Linked DNA regions of Saccharomyces cerevisiae S288C. Changing the gene in region 2 together with the main gene of any one other region gives a genetic interaction. Each region holds a gene or a part of one and is shown on either strand. Other genes may lie near its edges.

Region 1 (8,114 bases), on a different chromosome or scaffold from region 2:
AAATATCGTTATTTCATGACGCAAAACTTTCATATCGAAAATCGGTATCATATTGTAAATTTTTTCTTCAAAAAGTGCTAAAACCTCACTTTCAAGTATTTTTAAAGGAGGCAAATAATCCTTTGCTAATATAGTTTCTGAGCTGAATTTTTTAGCATTATTTTCTCTGTATTGAGCGAATTTGTTAAACAATGATTTGTGAATAGTCTGATGCATGCGGAAGTTATTGCCCTTACCAACAACATCATCGCTAATGTGGCGTTCGTCATCAGCATCGAAAGTGGATAAAGCTTCGAAAGATTTAGGCAAGCTTCCATTTTTCACATTATTGCCGTTGCTTCCCAATTTATCCATCATTTTTTTGATTGCGATACTTCTAAATGTTACCATTGCTTGGAGATAGGGGTCGCGATTTTCAATTGCTCTATCCGTGAACAGACCAAATAAATTATCAGCAGACCTTTTGGTCTCTAAATAAAACCCATTAGGGATGAGGTCAATAAAAAATGGAGTTTCTTCATGAATTGGTAGATAATAAAGTGATGATTGATTTTCAAGTTCTCGTACTCTTTGCCAGTGATCTTCGTCTTGTCTTGTCTGTGACGATCTTCTTTTCTTAATGAAACCTGGACTTATTCGTTCCGCAGGAGTTGATTGTTTCCTCAGAGGGTCAGCATCATTCAATGAAGGACTGCTTTCAGGTTGTCCAGAGCTATCGGTGAGATAGACACAGCTGTCCACATCTCCCAGTCGTACACATGTTCCACATGGTTTCGTTCGATCGCACTTACTTTTCCTTTTTTTGCAATTTGTGCATACTACAGTAATTCGATGTCGTTTTTTTGTCCTAACTTGGGAGTCATATCCCATTATGAGATCAGTTGTCAACTAAAGTCTGGTATCAATTGGTTTCTAGTTTCTTTCTTCTCTTCATAGACTCATAACACTGCAAAATCGCAACAATAAATTCATGACTTATTGTTATGCAAAAAATTACCCGAATGTGAAAGATTAATAAGCTCATCGCAGTCGCAGAAAGAGTGAAAAAAATACCTAAGAATGCCTAAATTAGCTTAAACAAAAGTCATTTCTAGAAAGCAATGAAAAAAGGGCAATCTAATGATACCACCACGAATCGTTCCATGGAGGGATTTTGCTGAACTAGAGGAGCTGAAACTTTGGTTTTACCCGAAAAGCAAAGGAACCATTGAAGATAAGCGACAGCGTGCAGTGCAAAGAGTACAGAGCTACCGACTAAAGGGTTCCCAATATTTACCTCACGTGGTGGACTCTACAGCACAAATAACATGTGCGGTATTGCTAGACGAAAAGGAAGCGTGTTTAGGAGTACATCAGGATTCTATTCCTATCCGGTTATCGTATGTAATGGCTTTGATTCGGTTTGTCAATGGCTTATTGGATCCAACGCAACAATCTCAGTTCGCTATTCCCTTACACACATTAGCTGCTAAAATTGGACTGCCGTCCTGGTTTGTTGATTTGAGACACTGGGGTACACATGAGAGAGATTTACCTGGATTAGAAATGCTTCGTTGGGCCGCCAATGAAGCGTTATCTTGGCTATATGATCACTACTGGAACGATGAGGAATTAGAAGATGACAGGGATGATGATGACGATGATGATGATACCGGTTACGGATACAGAAGAAATGATAAACTGGAGAAATATATGGAGTCATTAACTAAAACACTTGATAAATGGAAGCGACTTAGAAACGAGTTTCTGGAATACAAATGGGTGTGGGAGAATGCAAACGATAGTTTAATTACAAGTAGTAACTTTTCTGGGGATAATTTGGTGAACTATGATGCCGAAAAGAGGAAAAGTTCACACGCAAGTTCATCAGAAACTATGATCAGGGAAAATTTGCGTCAATGGCAAGAACTTTGGAAATTATCCATTTATCACAATGTGGTTCTTGAGAAATTTTTTAACAATTATGACCCACTTTTACTCAAAGTTTTAATGCTTAATTTGAACAATTTTGATTGGAAGGTCATTGAGTGGGTAGCTAGGAATTACAGAACCCAACAAGATGATAGTAATATAACGACAATTTTAAAAAGGAAATTCAATGCCTGGAAAGAACTACAAAAAAGGCTGTTAGATGTTATTATAAATAACCTTAACAATAAAAATTTTAAAAATAAATGGCAAAATTGGGAGAAACTTATTGATGAAAATGCGTCATACTTGATATTGTATTTTTGCCAATCTATGCTGGCCAAACTAGAGACTGAAAAAATTACTGGTAACTCATGGAGAAACAAAAAACGGAGAAAACAAATTGATAGCACAGTGGAAATCGAGGCAAAACTGAAGGAAAACATAGACAATTTATCATTAAGGTTTAATGAAGGTGAAATAAAGCTGTATGATTTTATTCCTGCGGAAAAAGATTCCGTTCCATTGAAGAAGGAAGTGAGTCCGGCATTAAAGGCTGATACCAATGATATACTAGGCGATTTGGCGTCTTTGAAACAGAGAATGAGCAGTTTCGGAACAGTAGGTAAAAAAAATAAACAAGAGGAGAACAGAGCTACACCAGTAAAAAATTGGTCAAGGGTTCAAAATTGGAAACCCAAACCCTTTGGTGTCCTGTAACCTGTTTCCAATGCTCGTTATAAATACGTTGTAGACTATAAAGCTGAGTTGTATGCTGCACCCTAACGTGCATGTATATATAATCACAGTCTCTTTAACCTAATATGCAAACGAAAATGATTTAATCAAAACAACCTCATACTCTATGGGAATAATCTTTCAAGATACCGGTCATATGAGTGTTAGTAATCTTACCCTTTCTTTGTCTCTTCTTTTTAACTTCAACTCTCTTTGTTTGTCTTTTGATAGTAGCAGGATCGACACTAGCAGGCTTTAGACCTAAATCTTGCAGCTTTCTTGGCAATTCTGCAAATTGCGGTAATTGCACATTTTCCCACATTTTAACAAACTCCTCGTCAATACATTTCAAGTTACCACCGCTGTTATACCAAACGTATCTTGGAGTTTTATCCTTTTTAGTTCTTAACACCAAAATTTTGCTGTCTTCCTCCAGTTGGTTAATCGTTTCATCGCATTGTGGCCAACCGTCTTTCAAGTCTTTGCAGGAAATACCTTTGAATGTTACTTGTGAACGTAACAACTTCAGCAGTTCCGAAGGGGAATGGACATCGTAGGTGGAAAGGTATTTGAAAGTCCCCTTCTTGGGGTCAAACTCTATTCTATCTAATTTTTTTAAAAGCTCAATAACCTTGTCATCTTTTTTCATTGACAAGTAGTCCAATAACTCATTCACCAAAACGGGCTTACCTTTCTTTTGAATGTATTCAGTCGCCCAAAGCAACTTTGAAGAATCGTGACTCTTGGAAATATCTGTTTGATTTGCTTGTAAAGCGGCTGCAGCAATAGAGCCAGGCCTTACTTTTTTTGAAGGAGAGCTACCAAAATCTTCGTCGTCATCGTCGTCATCTAATGAAATAGCATTAGAGCTATTGCTCCCAGCTTCTTTCTTGATATCCACTAACACAGGATTTTTCGCAGAGTTCAAAGTGTTTTCTTGCGCACGTTCGGAGGCCGTCCTCTTCCTAGTGTTTCCATCTATAGTAATCACTGTGTCATTGGTCTTCTTCTGTCCAACTTTAGCGGGTGCGATCACCGGGGCAGACTTCACTTTGCTTTTGAAAGCGTTCAAATTAGCCAGTAGAGGGTCCCTGTTTTTACTCATCGCAAAAGACTACTCTCTTTTCCAAATCGAACGAACTACTTGGTATAAAACAGTTCTGTGTAACAGCTTTCTCGTGTTCTACAGAGCACACGGTTATGTAACTAGTTCACTTCTTATTAGCTCTTTTGCCCTGATTCGTAAGTGAACTTCTTACCCGAAGTAAGCTCGCGCTTTTCTTTTTCTTCTCGCATATAACATTTTGACTATAAAAGCCGTGAACTATAGCATTTGCTACCAGAAAGAATTTTTCTTGCCCTGGACCTTTGATGCTTTAAAAAACATTTCTCTTAAAAGAAAGCATAACAATTTGTGATGCTTTAGGGAGCCTATTGTTTGATGGTTTATAGGAGCCGGATTTGTCTTTTTGACTAATTTTCAACCTATTCTTACTTCCAAAACTGTTGCAATGGCTCTCGTTTTTTTTAAATTTTTCTCTTTTCTCTTCTTTGGCATAGTTTATTTTTAATAAATTATTTCAGGGTGAGATAGAGAAAGGATAATGAGTATCGTAGATAAATCTTCGGTTCCGAATAGTGTAACTGTTGGTGCTGAGGTAATCCATCTTTAAAACCATCGCCGTTAGAGGTTGCTTCTGATATTTTCGGTTAAGCGACCCATGAAATGGTGATGACCTGAGGTATGGAACATCTTTCTTGATGGTTACTTTGTTATATATACGTATTTATAGTATGCGGATACACGCTTTTCTCGCTATGAATCGTGTTTGAGGAAGTATTTACCGCTGCCGTCCTTCCACCATCTTCTCAGGCAGCTGATGACATTGAGATCAATATTGTCTGGGTGATTGCTATCACAAAGACATCTTTGTTGAAGTCTCAGGTAGTATGCAGATGGACACGTGCCAAAAGGCATATGCTTATAGCCTAATTCATCAAAATGGATGATTTCGTCTTTTTTCAAAAGAAGTGAGGCAGCAATCGAATGAACTGGTGCATCTCCCCACCTTTCATAGTAAAAACCGCCCTTTGAATCCAAGTACTCGAAAAATCTAATGTATTTCTCACTTCTGAAAAAGTTCAAATCGCCAATTTCAAAATTTGTCCAAAAATGACATAAATTATAGCCGCTGTTACTATCGATGACACCAAAAGATTTACCGATGAAGTCGAAATTTGATACGAACCCGAAAGCGTTGCTTTCCATGTCAATATCTGCTGACTCTGTTTCTTCGAGATATTCTTCTACAGCTTCCCATAGGCTCGGAATTGTATCTTCGTATTCATACATAGTTATCACAAAGCCATATTTCTTATTGTTCTGCCTCATCACCTTGAATGGATCGTAGGGAAAATCGCAAAAATACTCTACATCTGGCTCAACTCTGAAATAAAAATCGTACGGATCTAATATCTTTTGTCTAAAGAAAAATCCAGAATTAAATCGGCACATATTTCTATATGACTTTGACCCACCGTACAAGATATTTTTTTCCTCCATTAATTGTAAAGCCTCTTCAAATAGAGTTTCGTTGATCCAAGATGGCCTGTTCCAGTCCTCCGCAGGGATTAAAGCGTATTGCGTTCTACCACTAGCCATGGCTGTGGTGGCTTCGATGAACTCTTGATCAAATGGGACATCATTAAGAAATGTCCAGTCATACTGGTAGTTTTTATTGAAACGGTCTTCTAGTGATCTCATGGAACGGAGTGCCCCCGAAAGTTCCCAATTACGCACAAGCATTAACAATGTAGCATTTTCTCTTTGATTTTTTATTCCCTTGGTCTTGTTTAGTGGTTCATCATTATAAGTGTTGCTAGATAGCTTCAGCGTCTGATTCATATGTCGCCTCCTTGTAAAATCATATCTCGATGAAACTTCTCGAGATCTTCTAAAAAAATACGAATCTAGGCTCAGCTGTCTCTGATATGGTACAAGTGCAAGCCAACATGTTTGAGCTATCAAGCAAAATAGAAGACTAACAAAAAGTAGTTTTTTAACCTGTGTAAGAAATACCTTGCAGATTTGCATGAAGCTCCTACGCTTTTAAATAAACAACTATTGTATAGAAAAAACGCAAAAAAAGCGTTGCATGTATAGGTGTCACATACCTGAAGAGATATAAAGAATCAAGAATATCATCAGACAGGCAAATGGTGGCTTATTATGTTTATTCTATTTTTATAGGGTGTCTGTTCTTTTTTTTTTCTTTTTTTTTTTCGCTTACTAAATTTCTATAATCTTGCAAATTCTTGAAAGGAATTAAAGTTTAAAACACTTTATTAATGCTATAATTAGTTAGACAAAATCACGCTTTTTCATTGGGAGTGTTTAAATACCGTATTTAAAAGATGATGCTTTAATTTTACAATTTAATATCACTCAGATCTTCATTTTTCTGATTTTCTCTAGCCTCTGAAAACTGATATATAGGCAAACTAGTACTGTTACTGGTCTTGACAAATATAGATATTATTCCTCCTTTAATGACGCCGCCTTGCGGTCTCTTACTTTTATCAGTGAGAAAGTTTATTGTATCTTGGATGTTTTGCAAAATTTCTGGTATGGAGTGTTTTTGAATATAACCGACCCTGACGCTTAAGCAGTTGTCATTATTGGGAATGTATGAGGTATTCTTACATATACTTCTCAATTGTGCTCTCACGTAAATGGGGTCACATTTTTCGACCATTTGTTGACGCTTCAATTTTACTTCTTTCGACATGCGGATCATGTATGGCAATTTTTTACTACCGTGATAAAATCTGCTACCAAGAACCTCCGGAAGTAAGTGGTGAACTCTGTAATCGGCAACGACCAAGTCAAAATCTTTATAAAGTTGGGTCAGTTTACTCCCTTTGAATCTACGTCTCAAGTTCTTGACACTTATAATTTCCTTGAATAATTCCGACGTATGCTCGTCTTTCGTCAAAGTTTCTCTATACAAGGCAGAGGGATCCTTGGTAATGAGTAATATGTTTAGGTCCCTTGGTTTAAATAGCTTGTACTTTGTTAATGGAATAATACGGGGGATGTTGTCCCTGTTTATGCCCATTTTTTTGCCCGTGTTGATGATTATGTGTATGTCCTTATCATTTTTTAAAGATGGGTTCTCTTCACATTGTAAAATTAGAGCCTTTAGTGCTTTCTCTGCCAGCCCACTTTTTATAATATCATTTGACTCAACCATCCCAAACCTCGAGATATAGCGTTTGATGTACACTTTTTCTTTTCAGCTCCAATCTCTATTAGTAGGGCATCGATTTTTTTTTTTTTCCTTTTATATATATTATTTTTTATAAATTTGAAAAATTTCAGATAGATACGTTCGGATATATACAAAAAGACAAAGCAAACAATTAGTATAGGGTATTTCAACCTTCGTGCCGAGAGTCTTTTGGACTTTGAAGAATAATAGGAATGTAAAAAGAAAAACAAATTAAATACAAAAAGCATATATAACTTTTTAGAAATATATGTTACGTTATCAAGATAGCCTCACAAGATACTTTTTTAAGAAGTTTTTGTCTCCCTTAGTTCAACAAAGTAGCGATGTCGGATGGCAATTCTTCAATTTGAGTGGAGTAGAACTTTTCTAGTTCTCTCATAGCGCCAACGTCTTCGTTAGTAACAAAGTTGATGGCAACACCCTTTCTACCGAAACGACCACCTCTACCGATTCTGTGAATATAGTTTTCTTTGTTAGCTGGTAAGTCGTAGTTAATAACCAAAGAAACTTGTTGGACATCGATACCTCTAGCCAACAAATCAGTGGAGATCAAAATTCTGGAAGAACCACTTCTGAATTCCTTCATGATGGTGTCTCTTTCTTGTTGTGGTAAATCAGAGTAGATGGCAGAAACGGTAAATTTGTCGTTTCTTAACTTAGTGGTCAATTCTTCGACCTTTCTTCTGGTGTTACAGAAGATGACAGCTTGAGTAACGGAGATAGAGTCGTATAAATCGGTCAAACACTCGTATTTGTATTCTTCTTCTTCAACATTAACGTAGAATTGTTTGATACCTTCCAAAGTCAATTCATCCTTCTTAACCAAAATTCTAACTGGGTTTCTCATAAATTTGGTGGTAACTTCCAAGACGTCATTTGGCATGGTGGCGGACAATAGAACAACTTGAGTGGTTGGTGGAAGTAAGGTGAAAATTTGGTAGATTTGTTCCTTGAAACCAGAAGACAACATTTCATCAGCTTCATCTAAGATGAACATCTTGATCTTGTCAGTTCTGAATCTACGTCTTTGGATGTTGTCAAAAACACGACCTGGAGTACCAACGACGATTTGAGCATCTCTCAAACCTTCAGCGTCTTCAACAAAGGAAGTACCACCGATACAAGCGTGGACCTTGATGTCCATGTGGAAAGCCAAAGCCATGACAACCTTTTGGA
Region 2 (7,870 bases):
GAAGTTTTCTTCCATGCGCTCTCTTTAGTCTCTAAACCTGTATCGTCAGCAGTATGCACTTGGGTGACATGTAAAAGTTTTCCAAATGCACTTTTCTTTCCAAGTGTAAAATAAAGCATTTCCGGATGGTCAAAATAAATATATAATACTTATTCCAAGTTTATAAAAGTATATGCGTTTATAATATTAAGTATATATGTATATATACGGGGAAGTGAACGTAGTGGTTATGTTATTATTTAGTCGTCAAAAAAATTGGGAAACCTGTGACAGAAAAAGGGAAAAAAAAGTTCTGTAATATGCATAAATTATTAGGAATTGAATCGGAAAAAGAAGAACGAAATGACCGAGGGTGATTTTAAGAAGAAAAGTTATGGCAAAGCTGCTTTCGCTATGATTTAATAGTTCGTGATATTTAAGCCGTTGTTTGGTTTCGTGTAATAGTTCTCGTCGATGCTAGCTTCGCTGTCATCATAAACACGATGAATGTTTTCATCGTGCATTACTTCATCTGCGTCGTTGTAATCTTGACTATTACTATTCGACATTGAATATGATGCAGATTTAGTAGGTGAGTATTGATCATCTATGCCTCTGTTATGGAAGTTGGATGATAGGTTTTCATCATTAGCGTCGTCGTCGTCGTCGTCGTCGTAGCCTTCAACATTAGTGTGTTTAGGGGTGTAGGGGTTGTCATTGTTAAGTATATCTTCTGGATCGATATCACCAAAATTCTGAATATTATTGCTGCCGATGGGGGAATCTGAGCTGAATCTTTCTGTTTCACCAATTTTTTTACCCAGCAAGAAATACCATATTTTGGTGAAAATGTTACTACGATAAGCTGTGACAATTTTACCGTCAGAGTCAATGAAATCCGTTTTTTTAGGCTGAACACAAAACATGTAAATCAATATTAGTAGAATTAGGATGAGGGGGGCACCTATGCCAACCACACAACCGATGATAATATTACGATTCTTTTTTGATAAGCCTGAGTGATGTGAATTTTTTCCTGAAGATGCGGATGCTGTCGGTGAATACGTTATTGTGGTATAGTAGTTAGAGAGGATGGTCTGGCCTTCTATTATACTAGTTATGGTTTTTGCCAAATTGGAATATTCGGAAGCGGGAGTAATAGAAGATGAGGCGGATGTAGAAGTGATTGATGAGGTAGGGTTTGAGGAAGATGAAGATGAAAATGAAGGATATGACGAAGACGAGTATATGGATGAAGAGGAAGATGTGGAGAGGGTGAAATATGATGATGATGATGATGATGATGATGAGGATGAGGATGATGATGAGGATGATGAGGATGAGGATGATGAAAATGAGGAGGAGTAGGAAAAGAGGGTGGATGAGGATGAGGATGATGAGTACGAGGATGATGTCAATTCGGATGAGGACGAAGGTGGAGATGAAGTTGAAGAGGAGGGAACGTACACTGAAGAAGTCGAAACGGATGTTGAAATTGAAGAGGAAATCAAAGAGCTTGAACTTTCCGAACTAAACGTAAACGTTGACGAAGACGTAGAGATAACCAACGATGAGCTAGTGGAAAGTGTGGAGGAGGCAACTGTCGAAGATGTTGATGCCACAGTGAATGTCGGCAGTGATGATGACGATGATATTATTGTTGATGATGAAGAGGAAGGAGATATTGATGATGATGACGATGATGACGTAACCTCCGAAGAAGACGACGATGTTGAAGACGACGAAACTTGCATGGACGAAGAGGAAAGTTCTGAGGATAATGTTGACGAAAGAGTAAGCAGTGAAGAACTTTGTGGGAAGGAAGTAAAGGATACTGAAGCTATACTCGGCGTTGATAAACTTGCGCTGCTCGTTGCATCGGTACTGGACGTAAATGACTCAACTGCGGAAAGCGAAGTGATGGAAGGAGCTGTGCTCGATGTTGTGCTATTAGCTGGAACCAACTCCTGCGAAAGAACACTTAGCGGTAGTGTTGTTAACGCCATGAGAATCGTTCTCCACATAGATAGGCTTGAAGCAGAGCTCTTCTTCCTGGTCGGATTGCAGCTTGCCATACCTTAACTACTTATATTATACTAACTGGGAGTAAGTTAAAAGTGGAAACGAAGATCGAACCAACCCGAAATGAACTAGAAGTGTTTAAACAAATTTCGGAAGCAATGGAGGATTATATCCCAATTATCTCCTCGGAATATATCCTTATTATGCCTTGGTCTTCCAATATGGACCGAAGAGTACTTACAGTAAATAGCAGTATCCTTCGTTTTTCATCTACACTTTTCTACCTAAAATTGATCTTCCCGAAGAAGAAAAACTAAAAACTTCGATTTGATGACTGTCAAGACCCCAAGAAAGAGGGAAAAAAAAAAATGATATCTCATGCAACAACAAGTAATTAAGTGCTCCTTGTTCATGGAAGACACAACAGGCACCACTAATAACCTGAATGAGGCACCTTCGACTTTCGAGATGAGCCCTTAGTTCATCCTGGTGTTGTGTTTGAGAGGGGGAGAGCACATCATTGTACTTCCAGATCCCCCTAGCCATGATCTAATATTACCGCTGAGTAAAAATAGATCTCGGCTGCGTCTCCGTCTCCGCCCGCCTTCCGTCGGTTACTTCGTCGGTTCTTGCTCGACCCCCGCCAGTCCGCAGACAACAGTCCGCAGCAGGCAAGTGCTGGTGTCCGCTTGGTGTTTTTACGTACGATTGTCTTTGTTGTTGTTTTTACTCTTTATTACAGTTATTACTACTGTTTGTTTAGTATATACAGGTATTTGTGGTATTGATTATTTATTTACGGTTTGGTTGGATTAAGCGTTGCTAGCGTTAGTGTACAACGACGTCACTTCGTCGATGTCCTCGAGCGCTGTGGTCAGTTTCTGTAGTTTCTCGAGCGTTTCATCGCCTTGCACGAAAACTTCCATATCCGGCTTGGCATTGTAGCCGATGCCCAAGTCTCTGATGTGGAAACCACGCTCCTTCAGTAGGGCGGCCACCTTATTGGTATCGGCAGGTTCCATCACCGCCTCGTAAGTTTGGCCTGTAGTTTCAGTTTCGGTATCACACTCTAAATCTTCTGCGTCTTCCTGCACAGGCGCAATGTCTTCGATGCCTTGAATCTCCAGTACGCTTTCTAGCACCTTGTCCTCAGTGTCTAACATCTTCGGAGGTACCATTGTAACGTATCCTTTTTTGTCGAAGAAAAACAACGTTGGAGTCATCGATCCATTAGCTTTATTAAATGCACTCCTTATCAGACCTATGGTCCTGTTCTTGTTGTCTGTCAGCGCTTCCACCACTATAGCGACCCCGCCGGGCCCCATTCCCTCGTATACACATAGCTCAGAAGCGTTTGAGTCCTTGCCCGATGCGCTGCTTCCAGAAGCTTTCCGGATGGCGTTCTCAATAACTTTTTTGCTGACATTGTTTTTATTTGCTAGCTCGATGCTGGTGGCTAATCTTATATTCATGCTCGGATCCGTAATACCGTTGCCTAACTTGACTGACATTGCTATCTGGTTTGCAAACTTGTTATTAATTTTGTTTCGTTCCGCATCATTCTTGGCTTTACCGTGCTTGATGGTTGACCATTTGTTGTGACCTGAACGTACCGAGGAATTCAGCACACTAAACGATCGAGAGTTTTTGAGCAGTTCACCCAGATACCTATTTCTTACCAACATTTTCCAATTTTTGATGCGTTCATACCAAGTTTGCTGTTTTTCTTAGTTATTATCATCATCTTTCCCCTTATTGCTGCTGAAACTTGCGTACGTGCGTACTAAAAAAATTTCACTGCGCTTACGCCGGTAAAGGGAAGTAGGAAAACGAAAGAAAAAAAAAAAATAAAGGCGAACGATAACAGGAAAACCAACGTGAATTGCAAGCACTACATTTATTATATCGAGTTGACAAAGAATTAAGAAAATAGAGCACTACATTTCTATATTCATAGCTAGTCTCACTGACGCATAGTAACTAAATCATGGCTGAGAAACGTACTCTTATAGCTGTGATAGCTGACGAAGATACTACAACTGGTTTATTGTTAGCCGGGATTGGACAAATCACTCCTGAAACCCAAGAAAAGAACTTTTTTGTTTACCAAGAAGGTAAGACTACTAAGGAGGAAATCACTGACAAGTTTAATCACTTTACTGAAGAGAGAGACGATATTGCCATCCTTCTAATCAACCAACATATCGCGGAAAACATAAGAGCTAGAGTGGACTCCTTCACCAATGCGTTCCCTGCTATTTTAGAAATTCCATCTAAAGATCATCCCTACGACCCTGAAAAGGACTCTGTATTGAAGAGAGTCAGAAAGTTGTTCGGTGAGTAAGCGAACGATCTTTCCCAAAACAAACACAATTACTGGTAGATTACTAGTAGCAGGCGGAGGTGGAGGGCGGGAGCCACTGTTATTGCGTTTGTATAATATATACACTCATAAATGATATATTTAAGGTTCAGATAAAAACAACTTTTTTTTTTTTAGCACGTCTTTACTGCAGTCACCAAACCCATTTTTTTTTTCCTATTGTGAATACCCGCCCATATTTTTCACACACAACTGATGAGTAATATAAAACTTTTCTTTAAAATTATAACAAGATACACATATATAAAGACCAAAAAAGGGAACGTGACACGGCCTCGCTAATATACAATCATAATTCATTAACTGATTTGGCTAATGCTTCAATAAAGATATCAGCATGCTTCTCCTCGAATGTTAATGAAGGTCTTAATCTCACTGCATGGACTGCACATCCACCAACGTTGCAACCATTCAACTTCAATTTCTTCAATAGTAAGTCTCTCTTCTCACCAGTAGGCAAATCCCAGGCAATGAATGTGCCTCTTCCTTTACCTCTCAAGTTTTGAAAGTTTTCAGGGTATTTCTTCTGCAAACCCTCCAATTTCTTGAACAAATAATCACCTACTCTTGAACATTGTTCAGTCAACTTCTTGTCGGAGATTTCCTGTCCAATGGCACCTGCAATGATCATTCTTGCAGGTTCACCACACCATGTGTTGAATTGTCTGTATGGTTTGTTTGGAATGAATTTAGGGTCGTGGAAGAAATATCCTGCACTTTGGAATTTCTTGGAAAAGGTCACTAAATCCACAGGTGGTTGAATATCGGCGTACTCATGACACCATAGCTTACCGGTGGCTCCGACACCTGTTTGCACTTCATCTATGATGTAGACAACGTTATACTTCAAGGTAATGTCTCTTAGCTTTTGTAAGAAATACTTAGAAGCGTGGTTATCACCTCCCTCAGATTGAATTGGTTCGATGATTAAGGCAGCAACTGGAATAGACCAGGTTTTGATTAATTCTTCAACAATGGCCAAGCAATGGTCATCCTCTTTACGGTTTGCATCAGAATTTTCATCTAATGGGTATTGGTAAGATGGATACTCAGCATGAGGCCAGTGGAAGGCTGGGAAATCCAACTTGTGAATTGGTTTAGAACAAGTTGTGGAACCGGAGGCAAACAATCTACCGTGGAACGCTCTCTTGAACGATAGTACGGCAAGATGAGGGGCGCCAGGGGCGTCATTGTCCATGACAGACAAGTTTTCCTTTTCAGAAAAATCGGCATCATAGCCCCTTTGTTTGGCACGGTAATAAATAAAGGCAGCCTTGAACGCTAATTCATTGGCATCTGCACCGGAAAGCCCTGACCAGACGTGATCTTGACCCTTTGGCGCAGATTTCAATATTTGCTTCAATATCTTGTCTAAATCCTTAGATGGGAAGTTACCTAAGGCAGGACGGTCGACCAAAGCACGGATCATTTCTGGTGATTGTGCTGCCTTGATCAAAGCAGGGTTGTTATAACCAAGTGCAATTGAAGAGATTTGGGCATACAAATCCAAATATGTGTTCCCATCCACATCAGTGATATAGTTACCTAAAGATTTCTCATAATCAGCCAAAAAATATGCTGGTCTTGTGTCAAAAACTTCACCCAGTTCCTTTAACTGCTTCTGGGATTCAGGACCAGGAATGGACTCGGTCTTAACAGTTGGTTTGGTTGGCTCTTCTGGGTAGTATTGTTCACAAATAGACATTGTTCTTAGTTATATTTCTTATTGACGGTTTCTTGTCTGTTCTTTCTGTAATGTAACACAGTAAGTGAGTATTTTGGGAGAAGGAAAAATCCTAAAACTATTGAAATTACAAATGGCCTTATATACAAATATATGTGAAAACCTGAACCAGATTCCCTTAAATCATTACATCCCGCGAGATTACTCACTTAATTTTACAGTAAACAGATCTGGCGCTTGCTTATACTACTGGAGACAAATCATATCCAATCACCGCACCAATGGATAAACATATTTGCCGTCCAAAGCGGCGATTGCTTTGTTCTATTATCTATCTCTTCCTTCAAGCGCCTTTGATTAGATTAACTGCCGGTGCCACTACCCACAGGAATCCCGCCCGCGGCTTTTGTCAAGCGTGGTAAAATCGCCGACGCTGATAATATACTATGATTAATGGATAGTTGGAAAGATTGTTTTTGTACAGAGATTAACTATATAGGTAGAAATCGAGATAGCGCGAATACAAAGCATTAACCATCGCGAACGTTAGCAATAATGATTGACATTTCTCACGGACACACTTCTTGTTCCTCCCACAGATCTTCGTCTTTGCCGTCGGTTTTCTGGAAAATCCATCTTTCACCACCTCTTCCCTCTTTCAAGTTCAAAAAATCAACAGAATCAACACAAAGACAGACAATACCAAAGTTTTCCAGTCCAGCGTCCTCTTTAGCACCGTCAACTCCTCTATGGAGTTTGTCCAGTTGTTTGCTAGTTTCAGAGGTAAGTTTCTGGCCCGGGGCTGGCTTCCTATACAATGACTTGGTATGCCTTGATAGAGAGGACCATTGTCTTAGTAATTCAGCCTCCCATTCTTGTGGTTGAGGGTAGTAGTCGTCTTCATCCTCATGGTGTTCATCGTTCTCTATGGATTCTATAAGTTTGTTATCTTCGTTAATGTCATTATTGTCGGCGTCATTATTTTTATCGTCGTCGTCGTCGTCGTTAATTGGAGTATCTATTTCTTCGTCAGTGCTGTCATCATTTGTCTCTGAAAACCGCGGTGAAAATATGTCATACTTGGTTACAATCTCAGCCGGTATTTTCTTAAATTGTTTAGATATTGTAAAGCATTGGCCACTGAAGCGATACTGCTCCCAAGTTTCCGGGAAATAGAAACATGCTTCGAAAAATGGAGTCTCACATCTTTTGCTGTCGCTAGAGTTATTTGAATTTGGAGTTATAAATGATTCAGTTATCTTTGAGCTCCTCATATCAGTGTTAAAAGTCAACACATTAGTTCTTTTGTCATGAAATAAAAAATCTCTGAACACTACCGTTCTACAACGTGGTTTGTTCGTTAGTTCGTCAACAGTAGCAAATTGAAATGATACAAACGGTTCAGTGTTATTTTTGCACGATTGAATAAACATGGGTATCCATGGCGCCATTTGATGCGACATTATTCCCACTTTTAATGTTTCGGTGGTTCTTTTTTTGTTTTTTTTTGCTCTTTTTCTAATCTTCGTTTAGTATCAGCTAAGTTCCTCTTGTTTGGTGAAAGGTCCTCGAATGTATAATGTATGAAAATATACAGCACCGTGCTCGACTTACTCTCGCGCACGATCTTGAATTGTGGTAGTATCGCAAATTTGGGAGATTACTGCCGTATATTTTGTTCTAAATTACTCACATCAATTGTTTTCCAAATGCTGCGGAAAAAAAAAAAACCTTTCGACAGTAAACTCCGCGGAAATGAATGGACCGCAACGAGAAGATTAGTATTGTTAATGTGACGGCAA
Region 3 (7,734 bases), on a different chromosome or scaffold from region 2:
TAATAATGGTGGAGGTCTTGATATTAAAATCTGCTTAGATTTAGAGCATTTACGTACCATATTTGCTGTATGCAACTTCTTATAATCTTCATCGTCAATAACTGGTTTGGCAAGAACTTCTTCGATTTGATGGACCCTATCTTTTACAGCGTTAATTAACTTTTCTGGGATCGAACCCTCAGGTTTTTTTTCAAATTCTTTCAACTGACCAAATAAATGAGAGTGCGCTGCTGTGAGGGCACAACGGTTACATTCTACGCCTTCGATGATTTCAGGTTTACTCCAGTCGCTTAATAACTGAGATAATTTTAAAGTGGAACCAATATTCTCGTTCGGTAAATTTAAGCTTAATCCCGAAAATACGGAATATCTTATGCCACCGTTCTCACCACACTGTAAACAACCAATTCTTTCTGCCGTGATACCATCTAAAGGAGTCATTAGTTTGAAAGGTGTGAAATTTTGAATGGACTTGTCATGTAGTATAGAGTTAGGATCAATCTGTTCAGTTGGAATGTAAACAGTGCCAACTTCACCAAGGTTAAGTTGACCTACTAAAGCATCATCGGGTAATTCTGATTTCGCAACTGGAGTGGTATCTAGTTTTTCAGTATTCAATGATTTAACGTTACTTTCCAACTCGGCTAGTATGTTCTGGAAGAATTCTTGCGCGTCCTCTTGGTCGTAGCCAAGAAGAATATTTTTTCTTGGAGATTTGGACATTGCTTTCAATAAACTATTGGTTTTGAAATAGGGTTTATCCCGATAATACTTCGCATTTAAGGCAGAAAGTAGATCCCTTAAGGCGACACTGAAAGTGATATCTGGCTCCTGGCTCTTTTCTTCGTCTTCTTTCGAACTTGACTTCCTATTCAATTTCTTCTTATGCTTACCATAAACTTTGCCACCCTTACGAGTGTTTTTCTTATGAGTGGCTTCATCTTGAGCAGATTCTTGCCCGTTTCCTTCTTCATTGTGTTCATTTTGTTCTATCTCCTCATAGGTCCTTATGACATTATTGTCCAAGAACTCCATTAATTCTCTGGATGATGCCAATGATTGCAAAACAGAGTTCATAAAACAAGTGTTACCATCATTAACTAAACCAGCAATGAAACCACCTCTTTTCAAGATCTCTTCGTCTAAGTGGGTAAACTTACTTCTGGGCAACCAACGGCTAAGGCTATTATTATTTCTGAAGTTTGTTGTCATTTCACTAACGCTCTCAACAATGTAGTTTAGATGGTCTGGTTTTTTATAAAAAAATACTACTATGCCAAAAATTAATAAATAAATCGATAGATTGTTATTGTTGTTACTCCAAGTTTTAAAATTTCTCAAAAAATCCTGTCGGGAACCAAATAAAAATTGTAATAAACTGTTTATCTTGCTTTCAATAAACAAATCCATACAAAATTTTGTAGATTAAAAGGGGAGAAGTGTTCGAAAGTATCTAGTTTCGAACAAGGGAGGGCACTGAAGACGTAAAATGATCAGACGTTATAATGGAAAAGAAAGGAGAAGCGAATTTTGACAATCGCTTCTATTCTTTGAATGTGTATAAAATTTTTTTTTCCTGAGAAAAAAAAGGACGCAGATCACAATATTAAAAGCAATACTATGGCGTGCTTTTAAAGCAAAAAATGTTTCTGTTTTTTAAATATATAACCAATAATTATTGTATAATAGATTTAACTAGCCTGGCCATCTTGAAAATTTTGTGGTGCTAGTGAAAAATGTATTTTCGTTTTCCAATGATGGAAAAAGAAACTTGCCTACATAGATGTCATTCTGTACGTAAAGAGGAAAAGAAGGGATATAGCAGAATACACGTATGAAGGTAGGAAGGTTTCCAACAGGCGCTTACTGGTAGTATGATATATGGACATTCAGTGACGTTTATGGGAAAAACATTACGGCTTACAGATCCGCAAAATAGTTATAGGCTCGAGGGAGCTGGCGGTATTGATCGAAGAAGCTGTCAAAATGAAATACATTTCTTAATGGCAGCTCTTTTACTTTGACTGGCAAACCTCTTTGCTAAGGAAGATCATAGGAAAGAGAAGAACGGTCTTCGCTTGCTTGCTTGCTGGAATTTTCATTTTCCTTGCTGTAGCTTCATCATGGCACATAAGGAGGAGGAGACTCAACCAGAGACTGTTTGTTGTCATGGGGAGCTGCGCCTTGTAACAGAGGAGTTTCAACGCTCGGGTATACGTTTCTAGCGGAGCTTCCTTGTTGTGGGCGGTTTTGGGGGGTCTGCGAGTTTTGAGGACGATTCGAAGGAACGTTTCTTTCGCTATCCACCCAGCCTTGCTGGTAATAATAGACGTATTCAGCGTTCCTTAAAGGACTTGTAATTGTGATGTAGTAGAATGCGTGTAACATACCGGGCAAAAATCCCAGTAGCGTTAGCAATACATTCAGGAGGAAATCAGATGAACAAGGCCCAGATCGAAGAAGGACTGCAGCTGGGGGGAAAAAAAACGCAACAATATACAGTATAAAGTCAGAAACGGTACAACAAACACAGTAGCAACACATGATGCGCGTCCCTATCTGTCTCTGCTCAGTGTGGCACCTTTATTGGGGAGATGCCCTCTTCCGGTATTTTTTGATGGCCTTTTATATAATGTACAGCCCTTTTTTCTTCCTCGATGCTGAAAAGTGGCGGGATGGGTAACGGGGTGATAAACCTGACAAAAAAAGTCGATTAATAAAGTTATACAAAACAAATATGACTCGTACATAAATTATCCGGTATTTATACTTTTTGAGCAGCGTAGTTGTATTTACCGTACAATTTATTCCAATACAATCTTAGCGGTTCATGTTCCAAGCCCAACTCCGTTATCTTATCGACTTCCTCAGCCGTCAAGTCGAAAGAGAATAAATTTTGCGCGTCAGAAATTCTTTGAGGTTTGGAAGAGGTGGTTACAGGCAACACGCCACGTTTGGTCACCCAACGTAGGATAATTTGGGCTTCAGATTTGATATATTTCTCGGATAACTCTTTCACGTATTCGAAAAACGGTTGAGAGTCATCTTGTGCTGTTTTCTTTTGTAAGGGACCTAGTGGCGAGTATGCTTCTACCAATATATCATGTTCTTGGCAAAATTTGTAGATCCCTGGTGTTTGATTCTGCAAGAAGGGACTGAACTCAATTTGATTAACTTGGGGCTTGACTTCCGCAACTTTCAGAATTCTTTGCAAGTCTTCCACAGCAAAGTTGGAAACACCGATATTTTTAGCTTTACCTGATTTGTACAATTGCTCCATGTCCTTCCAGGCTTCCTCCAAACTTAACCCGTTGACCTCTTTGGAAACAAATGGGCTATGCAAAAGGTATAGATCGACATAGTCAGTGCCCATCTTCTTCAAAGCTAAATCTAGTCCATCCGCTGGGGAATCTGACATCTTGATTTGAGGTGAGTACTTGTCTGTCAAGAATATTGCATTTCTTGGTTTTTCGGTGAGGCTAAGTGCCTTCCCAACTTCTGGATATGTTCTGTAGATCTCAGCAGCATCAATGTGAATAATGCCAGGTAACTTCAGAGCATAAACAATCTGTTCGACCAAACTGTTCGAAAAGGTAGCATCCGTTTCTTCGTTTTTATACCATCTAGTACCTGTCCCAATGATGGCGATTGCGGGGATTTTATTTCCATTATTCAAGGTAAAGAACTGTTGGTGAAATGACATCTGTAAAAGTGTTGTTAACTGACCTCCGTTTCTTTAGGGTAACACAACCGTTTACATGTGTATCCATATCCACGTAGTATCCGACTATCAATATATCCGTATATATATATATATATATATGGGATGAGCGTATGTGAGTGTTTTCGTAGATATTCAAAATACGAGTAAAGGAGATCCTAGGTGTGGATTAGTAAGGGGAGTGTGGCAACTTCCTTTTTCCGGTTAATTCTCCGCGCTTTCGTTAGACTATTTTGCAAGGACCCAAATAGGAGACGCATGGAGGCTTCTACAAAACAGCGTGCCGTTTTGATGGCATGAGCAGGGGGCGCAAAGGAAACACCGGTAAATCGCGCAAGACCTTGTTGGCCACGTAGCCTCAAAGGTTGAATTGACACTTGTCTACAGAACTTGAAAAGTACAAAAGGAGGTCACATAAAACAGTAAGCTTGAGAAGCTTTAAGATATGGTGCGAATCGTTACAGAATATTCCTTGCAGAAATAATGGCGGGTCCGTTCTCTTCTGAAGAAGTTACCGCCCTACTGAAGCATTGCTGTACGATCGTGTAATGTGATGTGTGTTCGACTGGAAAGCGGAGAACATTATGAAGTAAAAGGACAATCAGCACGCCTTCCAGACTTTTAAGAAACATTGATGGAGCCATTGATATCGGCACCGTACCTAACAACAACAAAAATGTCTGCTCCTGCTACGCTTGATGCTGCCTGTATTTTTTGCAAGATTATTAAAAGTATGTCACATTACTAATAAAGAGCTTACACTCACACCAATGATGGCGATAGTCTCTATGTAGTACATATACATAAAGCAGAATACTAACAATCGATCCGCTATGCAACAGGCGAAATTCCATCCTTCAAATTGATTGAAACAAAGTACTCGTATGCTTTCTTGGACATCCAACCTACTGCTGAAGGTCATGCTTTAATCATTCCTAAGTACCATGGTGCGAAGTTGCATGACATCCCGGACGAATTCCTTACCGATGCTATGCCGATTGCCAAGAGACTGGCCAAGGCAATGAAGTTGGACACTTATAATGTGTTGCAGAATAATGGTAAAATTGCGCATCAAGAAGTCGACCACGTCCACTTCCATTTGATTCCTAAGAGAGATGAGAAAAGTGGTTTGATTGTAGGGTGGCCAGCCCAAGAAACGGACTTCGATAAGTTGGGCAAGCTACACAAGGAATTGCTTGCCAAACTAGAAGGCTCCGATTAGAGTAATGCATGCTATGATTTCTTTTAGCGTTTTCTTTTCATATTTAAGTTTATACATATGGGTGTGTTTGCTTCCATTCATATCCACTCTATAATGCTAACAATCATGTTACTAGCCATCGTTGCTATCGATACCTTATGAACAGCTCTAACTCCTTCCTTTTTAACCTACCGCCTTTTGCGCACTACCCGGCAACCCCTCGAATGTGAATTCGGTGGCAAAAAAGGACATATATCAGGGCCGTGTATTTAAGAGATCCGCAGTTGATGTAGTCAATTAATCTAGTTCTATTAAGATTTGACTCAACGCCATTGACTCGATAACTGGCTCAACTACAAGACAGATATACAAATCATGGGTGAAGAACATAAACCACTTTTGGACGCCTCGGGTGTCGACCCTCGTGAGGAGGATAAAACCGCCACCGCCATTTTAAGAAGAAAGAAGAAGGACAACATGCTTTTGGTGGACGATGCTATCAATGATGACAATTCTGTCATTGCTATTAATTCTAACACCATGGACAAATTGGAATTGTTCCGTGGTGACACCGTTCTCGTTAAGGGCAAGAAGAGAAAAGATACTGTCTTAATTGTGTTGATCGATGACGAATTAGAAGACGGAGCATGCAGGATAAACCGTGTAGTTCGTAACAATTTACGTATTAGGCTGGGTGATTTAGTTACAATTCATCCTTGCCCCGATATCAAATACGCTACTAGAATTTCTGTGTTACCAATTGCTGATACGATCGAAGGTATAACTGGTAATCTTTTCGATGTTTTTTTGAAGCCTTATTTTGTGGAAGCCTACAGACCAGTGAGGAAAGGCGACCATTTTGTTGTCAGAGGCGGTATGAGACAAGTCGAATTCAAGGTTGTGGATGTCGAACCTGAAGAATATGCCGTCGTTGCTCAGGATACTATTATTCACTGGGAAGGTGAGCCAATCAACAGGGAAGATGAAGAAAATAATATGAATGAGGTGGGTTACGATGATATTGGTGGTTGTCGTAAGCAAATGGCTCAAATTAGGGAAATGGTTGAACTACCATTGAGACATCCTCAGTTGTTCAAGGCTATCGGTATCAAGCCACCAAGAGGTGTTTTGATGTATGGTCCCCCTGGTACTGGTAAAACCTTGATGGCAAGAGCTGTTGCTAATGAGACCGGTGCCTTTTTTTTCTTAATTAATGGTCCAGAAGTCATGTCAAAAATGGCTGGTGAATCAGAGTCTAACTTAAGAAAGGCCTTTGAAGAAGCCGAAAAGAACGCTCCAGCCATCATTTTTATCGATGAAATCGATTCTATAGCTCCAAAGAGAGACAAGACTAATGGTGAAGTTGAGAGAAGAGTTGTCTCTCAATTGTTAACTTTAATGGATGGTATGAAGGCAAGATCTAATGTTGTTGTCATTGCTGCTACCAATAGACCAAATTCGATTGATCCCGCTTTAAGAAGATTTGGTAGATTCGATCGTGAAGTCGACATTGGTATCCCAGATGCTACAGGTAGACTTGAAGTTCTACGTATTCACACCAAGAACATGAAGTTGGCTGATGATGTTGATTTGGAAGCATTGGCTGCTGAAACACACGGTTACGTGGGTGCTGATATTGCCTCTTTGTGTTCTGAAGCTGCCATGCAACAGATCCGTGAAAAAATGGACTTGATAGATTTAGATGAAGATGAAATTGATGCAGAGGTGCTCGATTCTTTAGGAGTCACCATGGACAACTTCAGATTCGCATTGGGCAATTCAAACCCATCTGCATTGCGTGAAACCGTTGTTGAAAGTGTCAATGTTACTTGGGATGACGTTGGTGGCCTAGATGAAATCAAGGAGGAATTGAAGGAAACTGTAGAATACCCAGTCTTACATCCAGACCAATACACAAAGTTTGGGTTATCACCATCAAAGGGTGTGTTGTTCTACGGTCCACCAGGTACAGGTAAAACTTTGTTAGCAAAAGCTGTAGCTACTGAGGTTTCTGCCAACTTTATCTCAGTCAAAGGTCCAGAATTATTGAGTATGTGGTATGGTGAATCGGAATCTAACATCCGTGATATTTTTGATAAGGCAAGAGCAGCTGCACCAACCGTCGTTTTTCTAGATGAATTAGACTCCATTGCCAAGGCAAGAGGTGGTTCCTTGGGTGATGCTGGTGGTGCTTCGGATAGAGTCGTCAACCAACTATTAACAGAAATGGATGGTATGAATGCTAAGAAAAATGTGTTCGTGATTGGTGCCACCAATAGGCCAGATCAAATTGATCCTGCTATTTTAAGACCTGGCAGATTGGATCAATTAATTTATGTTCCATTGCCAGATGAAAACGCTAGATTATCTATTCTAAATGCTCAATTAAGGAAAACACCACTAGAACCAGGGCTAGAGTTAACTGCGATTGCCAAGGCCACTCAAGGTTTCTCTGGTGCTGATTTACTCTATATTGTGCAGAGGGCTGCTAAATACGCTATCAAGGATTCTATCGAAGCTCACAGACAACACGAAGCTGAAAAGGAAGTGAAAGTAGAAGGTGAAGACGTGGAAATGACAGATGAGGGAGCAAAGGCTGAACAAGAACCAGAAGTAGATCCTGTTCCATATATTACAAAGGAGCATTTCGCAGAAGCTATGAAGACCGCTAAACGTTCTGTTTCAGATGCTGAATTGCGTCGTTATGAAGCATACTCACAGCAAATGAAAGCATCTAGAGGTCAATTCAGTAATTTCAACTTTAATGACGCTCCATTAGGTACTACGGCTACGGACAATGCTAACAGTAATA

The links.
Region 1: mutations in DPC29 (region 2) and TFA2 together harm fitness less than expected from each alone (positive genetic interaction), as found in Saccharomyces cerevisiae (2 studies listed by BioGRID).
Region 3: mutations in DPC29 (region 2) and YDL124W together harm fitness more than expected from each alone (negative genetic interaction), as found in Saccharomyces cerevisiae (2 studies listed by BioGRID).

The regions. Positions count from the first base shown.
Region 1 is NC_001143.9:555,303-563,416, reverse strand, and holds TFA2 (transcription factor TFIIE subunit TFA2), read right to left. Parts: upstream 3,752-8,114; coding exon 2,765-3,751; downstream 1-2,764. Other genes in the region: OAF3 (Oaf3p), read right to left, coding at 1-870; rRNA-processing protein LAS1, read left to right, coding at 1,120-2,628; mannosyltransferase KTR2, read right to left, coding at 4,463-5,740; UTP30 (Utp30p), read right to left, coding at 6,075-6,899; TIF1 (translation initiation factor eIF4A), read right to left, coding at 7,243-8,114. UniProt on the Saccharomyces cerevisiae protein: Recruits TFIIH to the initiation complex and stimulates the RNA polymerase II C-terminal domain kinase and DNA-dependent ATPase activities of TFIIH. Both TFIIH and TFIIE are required for promoter clearance by RNA polymerase.
Region 2 is NC_001139.9:523,448-531,317, reverse strand, and holds DPC29 (post-initiation translation factor DPC29), read right to left. Parts: upstream 3,687-7,870; coding exon 2,814-3,686; downstream 1-2,813. Other genes in the region: MTL1 (Mtl1p), read right to left, coding at 399-2,054; VMA7 (H(+)-transporting V1 sector ATPase subunit F), read left to right, coding at 3,989-4,345; UGA1 (4-aminobutyrate transaminase), read right to left, coding at 4,674-6,089; YGR018C (uncharacterized protein), read left to right, coding at 6,624-6,953; YGR017W (uncharacterized protein), read right to left, coding at 6,638-7,531.
Region 3 is NC_001136.10:236,228-243,961, reverse strand, and holds YDL124W (aldo-keto reductase superfamily protein), read right to left. Parts: upstream 3,704-7,734; coding exon 2,765-3,703; downstream 1-2,764. Other genes in the region: ubiquitin-specific protease UBP1, read right to left, coding at 1-1,410; SNA4 (Sna4p), read right to left, coding at 2,122-2,544; HNT1 (adenosine 5'-monophosphoramidase), read left to right, coding at 4,356-4,452, 4,564-4,943; AAA family ATPase CDC48, read left to right, coding at 5,298-7,734. UniProt on the Saccharomyces cerevisiae protein: Reduces aromatic alpha-keto amides, aliphatic and aromatic alpha-keto esters, but not beta-keto esters.